Linked DNA regions of Struthio camelus. The protein of the gene in region 2 interacts with the protein of the main gene of each other region in a pairwise test. Links are inferred from orthologs where the notes say so. Each region holds a gene or a part of one and is shown on either strand. Other genes may lie near its edges. The genes, in order: LSM10, LSM3 and CLNS1A.

What was found.
Region 1: the proteins of LSM3 (region 2) and LSM10 interact in binary tests that used the Homo sapiens proteins (3 or more experiments, as listed by UniProt). The link is inferred for Struthio camelus from reciprocal best matches to the Homo sapiens genes LSM3 and LSM10.
Region 3: the proteins of LSM3 (region 2) and CLNS1A interact in binary tests that used the Homo sapiens proteins (3 or more experiments, as listed by UniProt). The link is inferred for Struthio camelus from reciprocal best matches to the Homo sapiens genes LSM3 and CLNS1A.

Annotation. Positions count from the first base shown.
Region 1 is NC_090964.1:10,314,981-10,319,850, forward strand, and holds LSM10 (U7 snRNA-associated Sm-like protein LSm10), read right to left. Parts: upstream 899-4,870; coding exon 527-898; downstream 1-526. Other genes in the region: protein OSCP1, read right to left, coding at 1,580-1,696, 2,252-2,315, 3,096-3,235, 3,447-3,516, 4,054-4,182, 4,551-4,654. UniProt on the Homo sapiens protein: Appears to function in the U7 snRNP complex that is involved in histone 3'-end processing. Increases U7 snRNA levels but not histone 3'-end pre-mRNA processing activity, when overexpressed. Required for cell cycle progression from G1 to S phases.
Region 2 is NC_090955.1:9,034,512-9,042,082, reverse strand, and holds the start of LSM3 (U6 snRNA-associated Sm-like protein LSm3), read right to left. Parts: upstream 3,019-7,571; 5' UTR 2,876-3,018; coding exon 2,855-2,875; intron 1,709-2,854; coding exon 1,598-1,708; intron 456-1,597; coding exon 360-455; intron 20-359; coding exon 1-19. Other genes in the region: XPC (DNA repair protein complementing XP-C cells), read left to right, coding at 3,036-3,126, 4,450-4,660, 5,546-5,673, 6,510-6,633. UniProt on the Homo sapiens protein: Plays a role in pre-mRNA splicing as component of the U4/U6-U5 tri-snRNP complex that is involved in spliceosome assembly, and as component of the precatalytic spliceosome (spliceosome B complex).
Region 3 is NC_090942.1:220,530,880-220,538,405, forward strand, and holds the start of CLNS1A (methylosome subunit pICln), read left to right. Parts: upstream 1-4,424; 5' UTR 4,425-4,523; coding exon 4,524-4,642; intron 4,643-6,973; coding exon 6,974-7,110; intron 7,111-7,526. UniProt on the Homo sapiens protein: Involved in both the assembly of spliceosomal snRNPs and the methylation of Sm proteins.

The DNA.
Region 1 (4,870 bases), on a different chromosome or scaffold from region 2:
TCCTCCTGACCCCCTTTCCACAGCGCTCAATCTCCTGCGGACAGAGGTACCCATAGCAGTGGGGTCCCAGTCTCCACTAGCCAGGAAGGCAAAGCTGTGAGAGCAGTAGGATGCCTGTGGGAGACCACAGCCAAGCAATAACACCAAACTGTGGCTTCTGACCAAAAGGGCTTTGTTTGAGAAGAATGGTGAGCAGTGAGAGAAGGGATACAGAGTAGCTGCCAAGCAAACAGGAAATGAGCTGGAAAAAAAAAAAAAAAAAAAGAGAAATCACAGATCCTTTAAAGCAGGGTTATTCATTAAAAAAATAACCTCGCACTGAGGATCCCCCCGCTCTCCCATAGGCACCAGCCAGGGGAGAAGCAGAGCCCTGTGTCCCTGGGAGGGATGCCCAGGGCAAGGTGTGGAGGCAGCTGGCAGAAAGTCCCAGTGTCCTGTCAAGAGGGGACACACCTGTCCTTGCCTTCCCGTGCACGTGGCGCCAGGGTCCGTGCTGGAGCTGGAGATACGGCAGCACCAGGAAGGATCACTTGTGCCTCGCTCGAGGGAACTCCTTCCTGCCCTTGTCACGGCCTCCAAAATAGCGGATCCTGTGGATTGCCTGCAGCTGACGCTCGATGGTGGCCCTGATGTCCACCTCGTCGGGGATGTGAACATAGCGGACGTTCCTGCCGGTTATAAAGAGCTCATCCAGGTGGGACACTGTGCCCTGCCTGTCTGTGAAGGTCACCTCAGACAGGCGCACGTTCATGAAGGCGTCCACGTTGGTGATGCGCCCAGTGGCTGTGCTCTCATCACGGAGGTCCACAGTGGTGACATGGCCGTGCAGGCCCTGCAGAAGGATGACCAGACTGTTCTCGGCAATGGTGCGCTCCTTGACAGAGTGGCTGACCTCCATCGCGCCGCTGTAGCAGAGGAACAGGAGACGCCATGCAGCGCTCTGACCAGCACCTGCCTGCCCCACTGCCCGCTCCCCCAGGGGCAGGTCAGCCAGACTCTGTGTCCCGGGGCACATGCTGCGGTGCAGCCACCAAAGAAATGCACTGCATCTCCCTTGCATGCTTTCACACTCCTCCCCTTGCACACTGGTGTACATACCACCCCCTCTCCCCTTGCACACGCACATAGGTGCACACCGCCCTCCTCTCCTTGCACACGCACGTACAAACTGTCTTCCTCCTCTTGCACGCTCACCCGCACGCCCACTCCCGCTGCTCGCACTCTCGCTCTGCAGGCGCCCCCCCGCACACCCACCCGCCCGCTGCCCCTCTCCCGCGGCCACGCGCCGCTTGGATCCCCGCGCACACGGGCGTGCACGCTGCCCGCCCCCCCTTGCACGCTCGCGTGCATGTGCTTCCCTCCTCCCCGGCACACTCACCCGCGCGGCCCGGCGGCAGGAAGGGGCGGCGCGGAGCGGCCGCGTGCGCAGTGCGGCCCCGGCCCCCGAACCGCCCCGGAGCCGCCCGCCCCCGAGCGCCGCCCGCCCGCCCCCGGCCCCGGCGCCGCCCGCCCGCCCCCGGCCCCGGACTCTCGCTCGGTGCCAGGCTGGGAACAGCGTATTTAATGGTGCGGCGGGCGGTCAGAGCCCGTCCATGAGCGCCAGCAGGTCCTCGCCTTTGGCCGTGCTGGCCGGGCGCTGCTCCGCCACCTCCAGCTCCCCCAGGATGCGGGCCAGCTCCTCCTGCCGCCCCGGGTCCTGCGCGGAGAGAGACAGCCTCAGCCTGCGCCCCCGGCCCCCGCAGCCCCGGCGTGCCACAAGCGAGCGCAGGGGTACTGCTCCCCCCGTTAATCTGCCGACAACTGCCTCTCCTGGGCTGACGGTGCTCCCGCCTGTGTTCCTGACACCGGCTGGGATTCTCCCCTGTAAAAGTACCACAGTATTGCAGCCCTATTCAGAGATGCCCAATTGCCTGTTAAAATTAAGGAGGTGATTTAAGGGTTTACAGGCATTAGGCATGATCCGGTATGCGTTCTCTAGTCCATCTGGTCTTAAAACTTGTTCTAATAAGTGAGAAAGCTGCAAATATTTGGAATTCAAATATTTGAAATATTCAAATATTTCAAGTTCTATTACTCAGTAATTACTATATCTACAAACTTAGTAGACTATATTTCCATTACTTATCACGAGCTTAACTGAATTTGAACACAACACATCTATATATTTTTAAGTCACTACCACAGGTAAAACTCAGTTCTTAGCAAGGAAAGAACGATTAGAATCAAAAGATCAGAAATACACCGTACATACCTGAGTGGCTTCTATGTTGATAACTTTGTAAGATAACTCCTCTGGTCTAGTCAATGCTGCGTGCCTTGATTGAAAACATGAAAAAAGTGCTTAATCTCACGATGACATACCAGTAAGTGATGAAAACAGAATCAGATTCATGAGGCTGCTGTGGACATGAAGTTTAGACAACTTTGCTATTTTTACTAGGCAAATTAATACATTAATCCCAGTTTGCAGTCTTATCCCTGTCTTGGATTTCTTATGCTAGCTGTAGAACAGTGAGAGTCTCTCTTTAGTTGCAAATAAAACAAATCTGCAAAAATTTCTGCAAAAAAAATTCTGCAGAAATCAAATAATGAAATGTCTCATTACCCTTTTGCTCCCTGCTAGGAAGCAGCTAAGGTAGTCAAGCCTGTTAGGCTTATCACCACTGATCAATTGTTAAGATATGTATATTTCAGGAGATAAGTATGTATTCATTTGGGGGATGGGAGAGCTAAAGGAGCTGAAGGGATGTACGTTGTTTCAGTTCTGTGTGACAGGACCTAAGCACAGATGGTCACAGACTGGTGATCTGCCAGTCTCACTTCAAGGGACAAGCAGTCCCAAGGACAAGAGCTTGCATCACAAGTGAAACACCAGTAACGCAAATGCGTCTCCTTGCTGCTAGTCCCAAAAAAAAGGTCAAGCCAGGGAAACTGCTGTTCCTTGTGTTCCTTCAGGGACTATCTGCACCAGGATAAGGAGATACTACAAAGACTGCTTATTCTGTCCCTAAGGCTGTTAAGGCTCAGCTTCAGTCTCCAGGACTGTCCACATGGGACTAAATCACAAACCCCAACCAAGCACAACTCGAGCATACTCTTCCTCCTCGTCTGTCGTGAACAAGTTTAGTCGAAATCCTGTCTCATTGCCACCAGGTTTCTTGATCTCCAGAACTCCTATTAGCCTGGCCAAAAAGTTCATCTCTTCTTTGGCAAGAGGATTAGGGGCTGTATTCTCCTGTAAAAAACAGTAATGGGTTAAATGGCCAGATTAACAGGAAAATGAGGACTGCAATAGTTTGGTCATTTCTCATATTAGATAAATATTTTTCAAAGTGATGTAAATATATTTCTGTATTTTTAATGGTGGAGATAGTGCAGGTAAGTCATAATTATATCAGTTACACATTTAAAATGGTTGGTTGAATTTATAGACTGAGAACACTGACCTTTGCATGGGATGCCAAGCTTTTGGATGATCCTGCCATGTGTGTCTCTACTGGCCGGCTAACACTGTACCTAGTGAGAAAAAATATACAAGGAAGAGCTCCCCATTAGCTGCATTGATAGTGGAATAGAATGGAGCAACAGGATCCGAATGTGGTTTAGCAATATTTTTCTGAAGAAAAAGTAAAAGTTTTGATTCAGTTTTATGGAATATTGATGCATTAAAATGTGCAAGTGACGAAACTATAAGAACGAACGCTGCTGTCTCTTGCTCTGTGAATGGAAAAAATTACGTCAGACAAACAGGAAAAAAAAAGCATCCCTTGAATGCAGTTAACATGAAATCACATTCCAGAGAATATGCAGTACCAGATGAGAACACTCTTTGCTCAGCTCTACTCTAGACATGAATTAAACTGTGACTGTCTTTATTTATACACATCTATTGCTAGGTATGTTTTGTTTCAGAAGATCATTCTGTGAAAGAGTCAAGCTGATCATAGAGAAAGAGGCAAAAATAAGTAAACAAGGCTGATGCCGTCCTTCTGGACAAGCATATAGCCATCAGCATTTACTTTCACGTTTCTATGTAGGACAAAAGTGACTTACATATTTGTTCCAAGTTTAAGGACTCTGTCTCCATAAAGATCAAAAGATCCTTCCCTTTGTGGAGTAACATAATTTCCATCAGTGGTGAATTCAGTTCTTTTAACCTCATCTCCATTGTGATTAAACATCCTTAAAAACAAGTCGTTATTGAAACATGTTTAGTAGTAAATTTCAGTACTGACTTGCTTTGTTTGTTTTACAAGAAAGGGGAATAAAACTCTGTTCTGTAAATTGATGGGAGCCTATTTTAAAGGATAAATAACATCTAAGTATCTGAAATAGGGGATGACAAAAACATGCTTAATGTTTCATTACTGGGCGACTCAGTTCCAGATCCTGCCCTATATATAATACTTATTAGATGTTCAGATATCCATGCACCGTAAGTGACAGTCTAGGCATGATTCTTATTAGACATCGGGGACTAACTGTTCCTTCGTGAGCAGCCATGCATGCAAGGCGCTACAAACTTCATAAACAATGGTTCAAAAATGTACCTGATGAGTCCTGGAATTTCTGTACCCCATGGAACAGGGCCCGATATTGGCAGCACAAAGCGGCCATTGGAATTTTGTACTTTATCCTTCAGAAAGATGGAGACCTGCAAAAGAATATTCCACCCACAAGAACGTCAGTTAAGTATCTTCTGATGCAAGTTCTCGGAAGTCTGACCTTGCAGCTTTTCTGCCTAGGCATGGCATGGATTGGGTTCTTAGAGATTTTGATGTATATAAAGATTATGTATGACTAGCTTTGGCCTGTGTTATAACTGTGGTCCAGAGGATGGGCATACTGATCTAACATTTAAAAAAAAAAA
Region 2 (7,571 bases):
GAATATTCCTTTTGGTAGACTAAGAAGAAGGAAAGAAAAGTTTACATTTACAAAAGTATAGTTGACAGAACACATCTGATAAGTATGTGACCAAATTCAATCATAAAAAACACCAGAAAACTCCAACAAAAGTAAGCTTGACTTTGCAACTTATTGGCATACTGAAGAGATCAGTACAATTAATACTAAGTCTTTGGACACTTCATACTTTCATAAGAATCTGCCTGAAACTTTTGTCAGAGCTTGGCCCAATAAGTACTAGCAATAGCCTATTTCAAACAGATAACATTGTTTAGTTTAAAAAAAAAACACCACCACCACACATCTTTCTACAAGGATAAATACACTGAACTCCTTACTTTATAAATCTCTTCATAGGTTTCTTCATCAATCTCTATTGTTGTTACAGTTTCTTCAACATCACCCAAAATCATATTTAGGTGCTGATCATATGCCTGTAGGAATGAAGCTCATTATTATTTTTACAAAGTTCAAACACAAGCTCATTAAAACGAGAATTTTGATGGAAGCGTGCCACTATGTTAAAGCAAAGTAGTATTAGTTATAGTTAAATTTTCAAATATAAAGGCAGACAAATCAGTACTCTGCAGCATGAAAAAACCCACTGCCTTTATATTCACAGAAATGCTCTTCCAGGAAATGGCTTTGAAGCTTTCAATGAGAATGCATGCAAAAACTCTGATAGATATATTTATCCTTGTCATTTATTGACATTAAACAAGCTATACATTCTTTGCCACCAATCCAGCCTCCTGGGATTGATTATCTGGGGCTAACTTAAAGCCCCACAAAAACTGAAAGCCACAACAAAAATTTTACAAAAGTGTTCCAAATACCTTCCAAAACCATATTAGAAATTACTATAACCAGATCTTCATGGATATGTCCTCATCATTGAGGTCCCAAATGAGTTGGGGCCTGGTTAATATATGGGACAACTGGTTATCTTCCCCAACACAGTAAAGTACTCAGGAAGGATGACTGGCTTAACAGAAAAAGAAAACTCTCTCATTAAGTGATACACCACTATCAGAAAAGAATGCACTTAAACAAGTCAGATTTGCAGAGGATCAAGTTGAGAACATATCCCATCGTATCCTTATTAGGCGTAGCTTAACAGTCATTTGTTTGATAATGATAATCTCATTCTTATTTCAATCTTAAATAGACCTCAATGTGCTTTACAAGAGGGCATCTGCGTCATTATGCTCATTTCATAAACATAGAAACAAAGGCCAAAAACAGTGGAATGAATTGGTCAGTGTTATCCAGAGGACTAAGAAAGAAAAAACAAATACACCTCTTGAGTCTCTAGAGCAGCATTTTATGGCAGACAGAATACTGAAAAAATTAGATTTTGCTACTGTCATCACAAAAAAAAGCTTCTGAGAAAAGAGGACCAACCTCCGTCAGTAAGACGACCTTTAACTTACTTTCTCTAACCACTTCTGCACTTTTAATCACAAGATAGTTACATGTGCTTTTAAACTAGTTATTATATAAGTTTGCCTGTAATATTATGAAGGCTGCTGTACATGAAACGAGCATTGTAGTACTGTGAAAGTGTTCTACTTACATGTAGTCTGCCTCTAAGTTCCCTGTCATTCCTCATTTTAACATAGATTCGCTCATCTAGACTGAGTCTGATGAGATCAAGTGGCTCCTCTACAGTATTTGTTGTTTGTTGCTGAAAAGTCAAATTAAAAAAGAATCATTTACACAGAAGCAGCTTGGGAACATCTCTGTTCCTCAGTATTGGTGAGAAACACAAAAGAAAGGGGTAAGAACACAAAATCAAGAACTCTGAATCATTCTTTCAAATCCCACTGTATCTTCGGGCAATTGATATTACCATTCTATGAACGTTTAGCAGCACGAACAAAATTAGCTGGCACGCTTCAACTTAGGCTGCAACAAATTGTGCTTCACAAATGCTGTCAAAAGGGCCACATGCCTTATCGGCAACCCTTGGCCGCGCTGCGGCACAAAGCCCAGCCTGCACAACTAGCTCTGAACTAGCTAGCTTAGGAGCCAGTGCCACAGCTGTGGCACCACACAGCTTAAGCTAGGAAAAGTGAACATACGCTCTCATTTCCGCCAGCGTATTGGGGTCAGCTGGGTAACGCACAGCCCCTCCTGCCCCAGCCACGCACCTCTGGCTGAGGCGCCAGCACAACGGCATCAGCTACGCCAGGCCTCACAGCGGAGTCAGAAACCTGAACGCCAGCAGGGCTGAGCCGCTCTCTCGGTGGTAAAGCTGAGCTTTCAGGACCGCAGCCGAAGCGCAGGAACACCCCCGTCTACCTTCCCTAGCACACGACCTATTGCCACCGCGGCGAAGCCTCACGAACGGCGTTTTCCTCACTTCCTCCTCCCGCGGCTCCTCAGGGAGGCCGGCCCGGCACTGGCACCGCCAGCAGCCCCCACACTCAGAGCCCCCGGCAGCAGCGCGGGGACCCCGCTATACCCCCGTATAGCTTCGCCGTAACGTCTCGGCCCGGGTGCGGCGGGCGGGCAGCGCCTCACGAAGGCTGCGCGGGGGGAGGCGCAGCCCGGGCCGGGCGCCGCGAGCCCCCACGGGCCGCCGAGCGTCAGCAGCCCGCGGGGCACTGCCGCCATTTCATGCCGGCGCCCCCCGGCCCGGGGCTGCGGCCCTACCGGGGCTGGCGGTCACGGGAACCGGCTCCCCGCGGCGGGAGAGAAGGAGGGCGCCTAGGCAATGGCGGCAGGAAGGGCCCCGCCGCCGCAACGCTCCGAGACCGGGAGCCAGAGCCGGGCCGCGGCGGGGAAGGTCTCCACGCTGCCTCCCGCGCTGAGAGAAGAAGCCGCTCACCTGGTCCACCTCATCCGCCATCTTTCAAACCGCCTCGCGCCCTCTCCCGCGAGACTTTATGGCCCTGCCCCTTCCCCTCCGACGGCGCGGGGAGGCGGGCGGCTCCGGCCGCTCCGGGCGGGGACAGCCCGTCCGCTGCCGCGGCAGCCCCTTGGGCGCTCGCCTCCGCCGCCGGGGCGCCATGGCCAGGAAACGCAAAGCTTCGTCCCGGCCGGCGGCTGCCGACAAGAGGCGGCGCGGGGGGCCGAGGGCGGCGCGGGGCGAGGCGGAGGGTGAGTGCGGGCGGCTGTGGCGGGCCTGGCTGGGCGCCGCGACATCTCTGGGAGGCGCTGAAGTCCCGCCGGGGCCTCGGGCCCCTCCGTTCCCCGGGGGGGCCGGCGCGGCCTGACCGAGCGCCCCATCCCGCCGGCTCCTTGTTGGCAAGCTGGGTTTTCTTTCAATAAAGACGGGGGAGCGTAAAGACCGGGCAGGGGGCAGCGCGGAGGGGAATCCAGCCGCTCTGTAGAGCTGAGAGGTGGCGGGGCCCTGTGAGGGGGGCCCGGCCCGGCCCGGCCCGGCCCGTCGCGGCGGGCACCGAGCCGCTCGGGGGCTCCTGCGCCCGTGCTTCGTGGCGGAGCGGGAGGCTCCAGGTGGGCTGATGCCCGCCAGATCTCCGCGACCTTCTCTGTTACCCAAACGGAGGGGATTTCAGCTCGCTCTTAGCACAGCCCTGGAGTTCAGCAGCCTCTGGTGTTGGAAAGGGTCATGAAATAAGACTAGAAGCTCTCTCAACTCGTGTTTGGTCCGTCCCTGCCGCTCGTTTGCCTACGTAGTGCGACACCGCGTTATCCCGGGCTTCTCCCACGTCCTCGCTCCGTTTGGGATATTTCCCTCTGGATTTTTCCAGAGGTGTAAAAGATCGTTTGGTGACTTCCCTGAACTGAATTAGCTTTTCTGCACAGCCCCAGAGGGGGTATGACTGAAATACATGAATTAGGGATTTAAATCAATGCACGAACTGTCCAGCAGGGCCCACACAAAGTTATCTGGAGGACGTTAAGGGTTTCACACACTGATAAAGGCTGGAAATCAGGAAGCAAGCGACCTGTTAAGGGTCTGGCTGACCTTAGTTATGACTCTTCTGTGAAAACACACCGTGCTGTAGTGTCCCCCGTGTGTCACCTGGAAGGTTGCTGTTATATTCAGTGGTCAGCGTCCCAGGAGATGCCTTAAATAAAGTTCTTCTGAGTAGCTTTACAGAATAGTTGTCTGAAGAAAATAATTTCTTACGAGTGGTAAGTAGGATGCTTGTTTTTCAGCTGCTCTCATTGGTAAGACTATAGGAATCTTTATGTATTTTTCCCACTACGTTGCTATTGTTTAGTAACTAACACTACGTTACTAACGCTACAATTATTTTCTTTTAACTGTTGTTGTTGAGTTATTCCCTATTTATTATGCAAATACTCAAATGGTATTCTTTATGAATGTTCACTTTCTTCTGTAGCTGGTAGGTGAAATTCTCCTCTAATGAACAATGTGAAGGTATTGCTCCTGACTGCAGTGGAGGTGACATTTCATCCTTTGGCATATCATCCTTTCATCCTTTCTTCTAGCTGGTGCGGATGATTTTGAAGAGAAAAAGCCCAATACAAGAAGGAAAAACTCAAAAGTTCCAGCTAGAAAGAGGGAAGAAGACTGTGGTACTGGAGTTTGCAGCTCAACAAGTAAGACTTCAAAACAAAAAGGGGTAAAATCAGTAATAAAAGAAGAAAATAAGAAAACCACTGAAAGTAAAGGGAGTCATAGTGAAGAGGAAATGTGCAGGTAAGTTCACTTACTGTTCATTTTTAGAGCCTATATGAACTCTTTATTCATGATTATATGTTTTTGTTTAGGGCCTAGTGCTGCAAATTGGTGTATGTGTAGCTTAATGTAAACAGAGTTGGCCTTGAAGAAGACGGTCTGTGGGGGAAGCAGATACGTGAGCCTTTTCAAATTCAATAGTTTAAACCTAAAATTTTTTTAATTTGTTATTCTAGTTTTTCATGGGGCTAGGGAGGTTTCATGGAACCCAGCATGTATAGAAATGTTGCGGGGAGACTTGAGTTTACAAGTATCAGCAGAAACCTTTAAACATATCATTTCCCTGTGTTTTTAGGAATCCAAATATAAGAGCAATGTGGTCTTCCCATGGAGGTTGCCATAGCAAAATTAATTAATAAGAAGACATGAAACTGATTGGTTGGTCTCATTCCACTGGCCAACTGGCCACTAATGTGTGGTGAAACAGAAACAGTTCTGATTTCAGTACACTTTGATGAAGGTTCAGTAAGAAGAAATGATTCAGTGAACTAATTCTCCAAGAACGCGTTTGTGCAAGCTGTTCTGAAGGATGGGACCTTTTGTACGTTCAGGCATCTTCCTTCTTAGAAAGCCTTGCGGAACCAGGACTTAAGTTTACACTGGAAAAAATGTTACCCCAATGAGCCCATGGTTGTTTATGGCACAGATGCTTTGCTTTACAGAGAAGGCATCTGTATTCACATACCTTCAAATATTCAAAACCTTTGTGTCTGTTGTTACTGATACAGAGGTCATGCTTCATTTATTTCCCTGTTTTTAATGTTTCTCTTTCTCTGTGTTTTTTTTTTTTTAATAAACAAGCACCCGCACTTCCCAATGCTAAAGCCATTTTAATAATTTCCATAGTGACTCACTGAAGCCACCTCAGGGGGAGAAAAATTTGAAGAGAGAATCTCCTGTTAAAAAAGAGATGGATAAAGACAATGCTGACGATGATGATGATGAAAGTGAAGATGAATGGGAGGATGTGGAAGGTAACAACCTTTTATTGCATTTTATTCATATTAGGGAGTAAATATTCTTATATGCAATTTTTTTTTGTAATTTGGTTATTCAGCCATTTCTCATTTGATTCAGGTAGGTGAGTTCTGTGTACTTAGAGTATCTTCCATGTGCATATCTGTATCTTTTAAAGCTGATATCTCACAATAATGCTAAGAATTTTTCCAAAGTAAAAAAAGACCAAAACAACCACTGACCTAATGCAGTGCCTTGCATTTGACAACCTGCTGATTATGTTAAAATGATGCAACTTCACAGCACTTTTTCAGCTGTTTGGGTTATCTAGTCCTTAGAGAAGCTAAGAATGAAACAGTTTGAAGATTCAAAACTGTGACTTCCTAGCAAGGCAGGATGGAGATGAAACCAACTGATCTGTTTGGTCAGGTGCCCCTCAACACACTGTGATGAGAACCATGATGATCATAATTTTATATTTTACTGCTATAGATTTATGCCTTCTAACAGGAAGAGCTATCCGTTTCTTCTTTTCTCCTCCGCAAGCACCCTTTAAGTCACACCTGCATCATTTTACTGGCCTTTCTCCTGTTTGGGTTTGTGACAGAGTGACTTGCCATTAGACTTTGCTGATCGGGTTCCTTAAGAGCAGAGTGACTAGCATCCCACAGCTACCTAAAACAGCTGAGCAGACTCTGCTATAGAAGATGCAAGAACTGGTAATTACTGGGGCGTTCTGTTTGTAGGTTGAGTTTGAGCAGATGATTGGGAGCGGGTAGGTTCTTATCCCATTGGCAGCCCTCCCAAGAGCATCCATTCTATGTGGATTAATTATAATATTTTATTTTTCCAGAACTCCAGGAACCTGTCATGGATAAGTTAGAAGAAGATGCTGTTGTTCCGGCAGCAGAGCTGCCAAGCAAACCAGTTGAGATAGAGATTGAAACCCCAGAGCAGGCAAAGAAAAGAGAGAGAAGGTAAGAACAGGGGAGGCTGTGAGGGGCAGTGAAAGGATGTTTAAAAGTTGAAGCTATGCCCAGTGTTAACTGTCACTGATTTGCTCTGTTCTGGGTGAAAATCCCCAAACTGTGCAGGCTGTTGACTTGGAATGATTTGAGGTAATGGGATGGAGGACAGTTTACATCCACAGAGGACTTTTCATCTGACGTTTTTATCAAAAGTCTTCAATGGAAGTTGGTGGGAATGGAGGCTTTTCAGCTTCTTTGAAAATCAGGCCCCTAACTTCATTGTGCATTAGTGTCCCCATCTCCAAACCAGGGATAGTAATAGGTTTCTTCGTGGAGAGCTGTGGGTAAATGGTGTTATTTTACTGTAAATATCTAACAGCTAAGGTGGAAAGCCTCTGTTTGCCATATCTGCGGGGGTGAATAGATGGAGTCAAATGAATGCCATCAGCGTCTGGGAGCATTTTACCAGGGAGGGCTTTCTTCCCATGGCAGCTGGAGGCCTGGCAGTGTCTCACACTGTTACAGGGTGGGCACTGTCCAGACGAGCCCTTCATTGCAAAGCAACTAGAATATCTGTTGTCTCCCAGTCAAAAGATTTAGTCAGTGAAAAGAAAACTGTTTATCCAGGAAACTGAATGTAAGGGTAGCAGTAATCTAAAACAGACAATTCAGAAAGCGAGTAATAAGTTTTGTATGGAGCTGTCTAAAGCTGTCTGGTAGGAAACTCCAGATACATAAAATTAGGTGGAATTTAGGCTATCCGAATATATCTGAGCTCTCAGTAGTCAGGTACATGGAGTTTATATGTTATTAGTCATATGCATCCTACATGCCTATTTGCATAGCCATTAACTAAACTTTTGCTAAGTGGGCACAGAATATTCTCTGGGATGGTTCTCTTTGTGAGCTGATACAGTTCAGGAATCTAGAAAGGCAGGTCCATAGAA
Region 3 (7,526 bases), on a different chromosome or scaffold from region 2:
GCCTGGTTACCCGTGCTCCGTTTGTTTGTTAGAGCAATTTAAGGTCCTTAATAGCTACTAACCTGCTACTCAAGTTAGCGGTAGAAAAGGAAATCAGATCATAAAGCTGTATGCCTTGTTTGGTTTTCCATTTCATACTCATTATATGGACTCTAAATTATTGTACAGTATCTTATTCCTATACTATATTCATTAAAATGGTACTCCTCCCCCTAACTTACATTAAAATAATTTGTCTTAAATGCCAATGCGGTTGCTAGTTTCTACCTGTGTTTCACAGTCCTCCTTAAGAATAGATCTGTAGCAGCCGTGAGACGGTTATTTGACTGATTCAGAAGTTTAATGTCACTGTCCTTGGTGTGCATGATGGTTCTCAAATAGGCACAAACCCTGTATATTAGATGTGAACATCAGGTATTTTCACTGTCCCAATTAACACAGAGCAGGTCACTTGCTAGCAGAATGGTTACCCTCCGATATTCTGTGACAATTAGATCGAAACTGCCACATAGGTCTCGTACAATTGAAGATCTGCTTACATGAAATACAGTTTCGTCTTACTCCTGTGTGCTGTTTTGATATGTTTGCAGAGAAACCTGGAGTTCCTTACAAATGGCCTCGCTCACAGTTGGCCTCGTTTTTGTTTCTTTCTCTAGAGAGTTAACGCAGTAAAGTTGCAAAAGCTGAGCTCTTTGTGGAGTTTAACCCTGGCATTTCTTGAGTCCTGAACCTTGATTTTTAAACCTCTTTTCAATCATGACTTGCTACGATAGCAAAGGGAAAGGACCGAGGGACACACACTGTGTGTGTGGGAAGGGGGAAAATATGTTGAAAAAACTGGAAGTGTTATTCTTGTTGCACAGAAATTGGGTGGTGCTTTCACTGTCTCTTTTTCCCCACAACTAATATCACGTGCATGTAAAACATGATGCATTAAAAAACTTTTTAAAACGGAAGTCATGGTGGCCTCAGTGCTCAAAGGGTTAACTGCAGTTTAATAACAGCTAATGTTCTTAGATTTGCAGTACACAACTGTTTAAATACTGTATTCCTTGTAAATGAAGTAAAAAAAAAAATGTTAAGGCTGGTGCCAATATTTTTGTTAATGAATTGTTCAGCGTTGTCTCTCACTACAGTCTGGTCAGATCTCTTTGTGTATAAGCTGGGCCTGAAGCCATTTTATAGCTTGTAGGCCTAATTGTGTAACTTTTCTTTCATAATGTTTTTGTTATAATATCTACTGTCATTTCTTTCATATAAATATGACATGTAAATTGTCATAATAAAAAAAAAATTGAAATAACTCGACGTACAAAGTATAATGTGTATTGAAGAAGTAAGTTTGCTTTTTAATGATCATCACCCATGCACCTCCTGGAGGGGTATCTTTTTGCCTGACTTTTAAAATAAGCGCTGAGTAACGGCTGCTGCATTTCATTCCAGCCTTTCCCAGTGATACTGCCCGGCCTAGGAACGAGCAACTACTGTTTTGTGTTGATTTTTGTTATGACAGTTCAGCTGACGGAGCTTTTCCTTTGAGCAGCTGTAGCTGACAGTGAGGAAGACCCGAAGGACCTATTTTTGCACTTGTGATGATTTGTCTTTGTAGGTTCCCTCTTCTACATCCTTTTTATATATAATTGCAGAGTGATGTTGCCGTCACTTGAAAGCCAGTAGCATGAGCAGGGCTCAGTGTTGGTCTTAACGCTGCAGCATCCACTTCACTTGCTGCCGGAGTTGCCTAACTGCTGAATTACAACTGTGAATTCTTGCTCCTAGGGAGCAAATCTTCCTGTTACCAGTTTTTGCTTGCATCGGTCATACTGTTTGTGCGACTCGCGGCCAAGAGCGTCCCCAGCTAGGCTTTTCAAGCATACATCTATGACATTTCCACATAGTACTAATGAGAGAGGACCTGGGTTCCTTTATTTGGGCAGAGACCTGAAAAGCCACCGTATACAAGCCGGTAGAGAAACACTAAAATGTAGGCTTTGGGGCATGTGACTATGGTAACGGGCACTGACAGCGTTACGTGAACTGAGGTCAAACTGCTGCCTGTTCCCGTACTGATGAGATACTGCTGTGAACTCCAGCCTCGTGCTCCAACCTAAATGCCAAAATTTTACACTTGCATTTTTAACGAGCTCTGGGTGTGATTCATGTCACCTTACGCTAGATGTCTTAAGCCTGAGCTGGCCACTGTACTCGACGCAGTGCGGTGTCGTCGGTGGAGAGAGACAGGCACCCTCAGATGACTTTTAACCACCCTTTGAAGGTACCTACCTCTCTCCACTGGCTCGAAATGCGGCCTAGGCTAAGTCACAGTTGGACATCTAATGTGTAGACACCAGTGCTGGGGATCCTGATCCTGAAGAAAAAAAAAAAAAGCTTTCAAATAGAAGCTCTGTTCTGTTTCTCTTGTGAATTTATGGACAACTGGAAATGTCTGCTTGCTCACTCAACTCTCCAGAGTGGAGTAATGAATTAAAAAGCCAGCTTTCGCTATGTCACTGCTTATCTTGGTAAGGACAGGTTGGTATGTTTACTTGTCACTGTTCGGTACTGGGGTATGAAGTATCTATAAAATAGGAAGATGTGGCTTTCTTTTCCTCCCTTAAGGCCCCAGACCTCAAAACGAATGCCCTGCCTTGTCCAAACCATCCTTCCTCCTTTCTCCTTTAAAGAAGTGTATTTTGTGACACAAGAAAAATAGCATTTATGTGCAGAAGGAAGAATGAACTCTACACTGATCCACTGCAGTGGCTTAATTCAGCTTTAACCATTCAGTTGTTCTGATTTAAAATAATCTAATGGAGTTGTCACACAATTTCCAGTCAGGGGGTGAGCACTCACTCTACAGGGGTGCTGAGGGCAGTGCATATCAGATCACTGGGGGTGGAAACGAGCAGGAATGTTGATTTTATAACCTCTACGTGTGATGAACGGGCATTTTCATATATTTGCGCCTCATCCCGCCAGTTGCTGTAATCTGATCTGTATTCGTGGATGAATTGTAGAACTTCCTTACCATCAGACGGGCATTTCTGTACTGTTTGGGCATGGCAAACCCGAAGATGGCTGAGAAACTTCTGTTTCCTCATCTCTTATTGCTTCTGTCAGTGTTTCGAGCTATCCTAACAATGTTTAAATACCACTTCATTGTGGAAGTTGCTTTCTGTCACGGTGGTTATTTGCATGAATAATAATTGTTGCATAATTGGAATCCGGAATGGATAGGATGGGCTGATCAAAACATTTTAAAAAGCTCAGCCTAGAAGAATTATGTATGTTCTGGTTCCCTTTGTTTCTTCACACATTTTCTTTTTCCAGAATGCCTTTCTTTGGCCCTTGGCCACCCAAGACTAGAATAAGAAAAGTCCAGAGAAGGAAAAATTGGAAGAGCTAATGCTGTTAACAATCTGCTCCTGTGCGTAAGAACCTGAGCTTGCCAAGAGGTAGGTAAATCAACTCCTTAGAAGTGAATTGAAGCTGCTGAAAGAGAAGATGGAAAACCATGACAGCAAGCTAGCCAGCTGCACAGGCGCTTCGTGAGTCTGCTGTTGCCCCGCTAACGTGGAAGCACTGGTCAACCTCAAAAGGTTTGTCCGGTCGGAGAGAAGATTGCCGTGGTGCTGCCTCACCGAGAGAGCCACCGGGAGAGTCTTCCGACAGGGACGTTTTCACTGGTGCAGCCTGAACGCGGTGATTTATTCCATCACCCTGTAGAGGTGTAATCCCGGCCTTCAACCAGAGACCACCAGCTGCTCGCCCGGGGGTGACGCACCGCAGAGATCCCCCAGCGGGACCCAGCTCCCGATCCCGGCGGCGTTTTATTTCCCCCTTTTGAGGGGAAACAGGGTCTCCAGGCCCGAAGCGGGGTGCCGCTGCCCTTCACGGACGCCGGCCCGGCCCGGCCGTCGCTTTGGCGCTCCCCTCCGCTCGCGTCTGCTCCGCCACGGGGAGTTTTAACTCAAGGATCTGCGGGACGTGGATGCTGCTCGGCTACAGGCTGGGCCTCAGGGCGGGTGTTTTTGGGGTGAGACCCCCTGCTTTGCTGCGCGGAGGGGCAGAGGAGGGGGGGGGATCCGCGCCGTGGAGAGAGGCGCCGCTGAGCGACCCCGAAGGGGCGGATCCCGCTGTTTCTGTGCCCCCACCTTTCCCCTCACCCCTCACTTATTCTACTGTACAGCGGCAGCAGAGGAGGGCAGCGCCAAAAGCGCCGATTACTGATTCCCCCCCCCGCCCCACAACCCCTGTTTTTCCGCTCGCAGCTCGGCGACGCCGTCTGCAACATGGCGGCGGCTGCGGCGCCGAGGCCACGTGACCCCCTCACACGGCCTCCCCTGCCATAGAGCGGTGCCTAGAGCGGCTGGCGTGCGTTCGTCTCGCTGCTCCCTCCCTCCTCTCCCCGCGGGGGCGGAGCGGCGCGTTCTGCTTCCGGGTGGCCGTGCGGGCGGGGAGGAGGCGGCGGCGGCGGCGCAGGCGGCGGCCCAGGCCCAGGCCCGGCCCGGCCGCGCGGTGCCATGAGTTTCCTGAAGCGGTTCCCGCCGCCGGCCGAGGGCGTCCGCCATCAGCAGCCCGACACGGAGGCGGTGCTGGCGGGGCGCGGCCTGGGCGCCGGCACTCTGTACATCGCCGAGAGGTGCGGGGAGGAAGCCGTCGGCGGGCCGGGTGGGGCGAGGGGTAACGGTCTTTCTCCTCCTCCTCTCAGGCCGAAGGGGGTCTGTGTGTGGGGGGGGGGTCTCCTTTGAGGGGCCTGTGGGGGGGGAGACCGTGGGAGGGGGTCCCCTCTGGGGGAGGGGAAGCTCTATGTGGGGGTCTCCCCTGAGGGGAGTGGGGGGGGTCTACCCCGGGGGGGGAGCTCTGTGGGGGGACCTCCCCTGAGGGGCCTGGGAGGGGGAGACCGTGGGGGGGGGGTCTACCCTGGTGGGGGGAGCTCTGTGGGGGGGTCTCTCCTGAGGGGACTGGTTGGGGGGACCGTGGGGGGGGGCTGCCCTGAGGGGGGGGAGCTCTGTGTGGGGGTCTCTCCTGAGGGGACTGGGTGGGGGGACTGTGGGGGGGGGGTCTACCCTGGTGGGGGGAGCTCTGTGTGGGGGTCTCCCCTGAGGGGACTGGTTGGGGGGACCGTGGGGAGGGGGGTCTACCCTGGTGGGGGGAGCTCTGTGTGGGGGTCTCCCCTGAGGGGCCTGCTGTGCGGGGCGGGGTCTGGTCTGCGGACGTGGCACCTCTCCTCCGCGGGCAGAGGCGGTGGTCGCGGCCGTGGGTTCTCTGCTCCGCTCGCGGTTTCCGCGCTTCTGTGAAATCCGTCGCGTCATTCACGTGGATGTTGTGCGTTTGTACTTGGCAGAAGTCAGTTAGGTTGTTCCAGAAGAACAGATGTTATATATACGCTCTTTATAGTTTCTTTTATGTTCTCCTTGCGGCGTACGGTTACAGAGGGCGGTTTGTTGTTTAAGGCAATGTATTATTTTTTAATCGGGGAAAAGCCCTCTCAATATGCTTCTTTGTAATGGAAAAGTGTCTTTAGAAGAATCAGATGATCTAAAATACTCACTGAGGAATGTATTGCCTTCTAAAACATCTAGATCCTGAAACTTTCTTAAAATTGGTGATATTATGTGTGAGAACCACCTGAGCCAGCACTCATGTGTCGTATTCCTCTTGTAGCAGAAGCTGACTGGGCTTTCAAACACCGCTTTGTTTAGTTGTTTGGTTGCAGATACAAGGGCTTGTGTTCACACGGGTATGCTTTCCATATGTATAACGCTGAGTTTCCTTGTGTCTTGCTTTCAATGGATTTGTTGTATGAGGCTCACACGAGCCTGCCAGCTTTCTCCCAGAACATTGCTAGTATGCTACAAAGCTTCTACCAGAGTCTCTCTCTCTGGTAGAGAATAGAAAGAGCCATCGTATGCGGGAGTCCCATCCTGTGGGAGCACAGTGAGGCTTTGGATCCAAGTACTGACTCTGCGGTAACAACTGTAAACACTGAGGACTGGCCGATCCAGGTTAGGAAAGAAGTTCCTCGCTCCCACTTCGTTAGCTCTTGTTCTTAGCCTGATTTCCTGAGGCGAGGAATCTTCTGTGACCGTTCCCGTTTTCATCCCCCAGCCAAAAGAGTTGAACAGCCTGTCGACTGTCACGAGCGGCAGAGGTCTCAGCTTCTGCCGCTTGGTATTTCTGTGAGGCATGTGACCTCACTGGTCACAGACCACCCAAAACTATTTCTTTGGTTTGTCAGCTGCTTGAAGTACGGTGATTTTTCTGATATGAAAGAGGTAGCAGCCCACTGGCAGCTGCGTAGCTCTGAGCTGGGCCCAACTTGTGCTGTCTCAAGTTGCGGTGAGAGTGAAAACGTGGGGAATCAGAGGTTAGAGTATATAAGGCATGAGATAAAACCACAACTTTGTTGGTTTTGCTGATCACAAAACTAGTTGTTTTCCCACATGCCGCTCGTTTGTAGAGGCAGTACTCACATCAGAGTTGTTCTCAAGAAGTTGTGATGGTGATCTTCCTTCCCTAGTGTACACTTGGTCTTGAAAAAACATGGAATATTTGATGGTTTGAGTTATAAATTATACACTGGAACCTGTGCAGTTATCCTTGTGGTGATATATCATCTACAGGGTATAGAAACTGAAGAGGTAGGGAGAAAAAACTCAGTCTTTATTGCAAATGTAATAAAGCTGAAGTTTGTTTAGGGTGCTCAGATTCATGTTTCTTATGAAAAGGGTTCTCTTACCTTTAAATATAAGCTATGCTGTTGCAAGGTGCTGTTAAGACAGTTCCAGGATCACACATCAGTAGAGAACGGGGCAAACGGGGTAAGTGCCTTGTCCGGGGTAAGTGCCTTGTCCGCCTTTTGAGGAATTACTCTTTTTGTTTGGGTTGATTTGCTTTTCTAAAGGTGTGAGCCAGGTGCCTTGGATTCCTTTGTGAGTCTCTAACTGGTCTCTCTCTTCCCCTTTTTTAGTCGCCTGTCTTGGCTGGATAACTCTGGACTTGGGTTCTCCTTGGATTATCCCACCATCAGTTTACATGCTGTCTCCAGGGACCTAAATGCCTACCCGTGGGAACATTTGTATGTCATGGTGAATGCTAAATTTGAAGGTATGCCCCAAATGTTGCTTACTGTTTTTATGCTGTCCTGAATGGCAGGATTTCTTCCTCAAACTGTCAGTTATGAAAGGGAGTAAACTGTGCATTTGAAAAGTATATGGTTCCTTTAAATGGTATCTTGTGGTTTCTCTTTTTCATTTCGCTGAAGGAGGATTATTTTAGAAGAATAGCTTTGCCCTGGCTTATAGTCCCTTCTGTGCTGTTCTGCATTGCAGCATGAGATTATGTGCTGCTGGAGCCACTGAACTTCAACTCTCTCCTCCCTTGTACTTACTTTAAACAATTTTATTCACCTGCTGCCTGCCTGTGATCCCAGGGCTTACATATCGTTCTTGCTTTACTGAATTTCTGTTACTATTGCAACCTTCTTCAGGTTTTGTGCCTGGTGCTTCATGTTAACCTGGAAG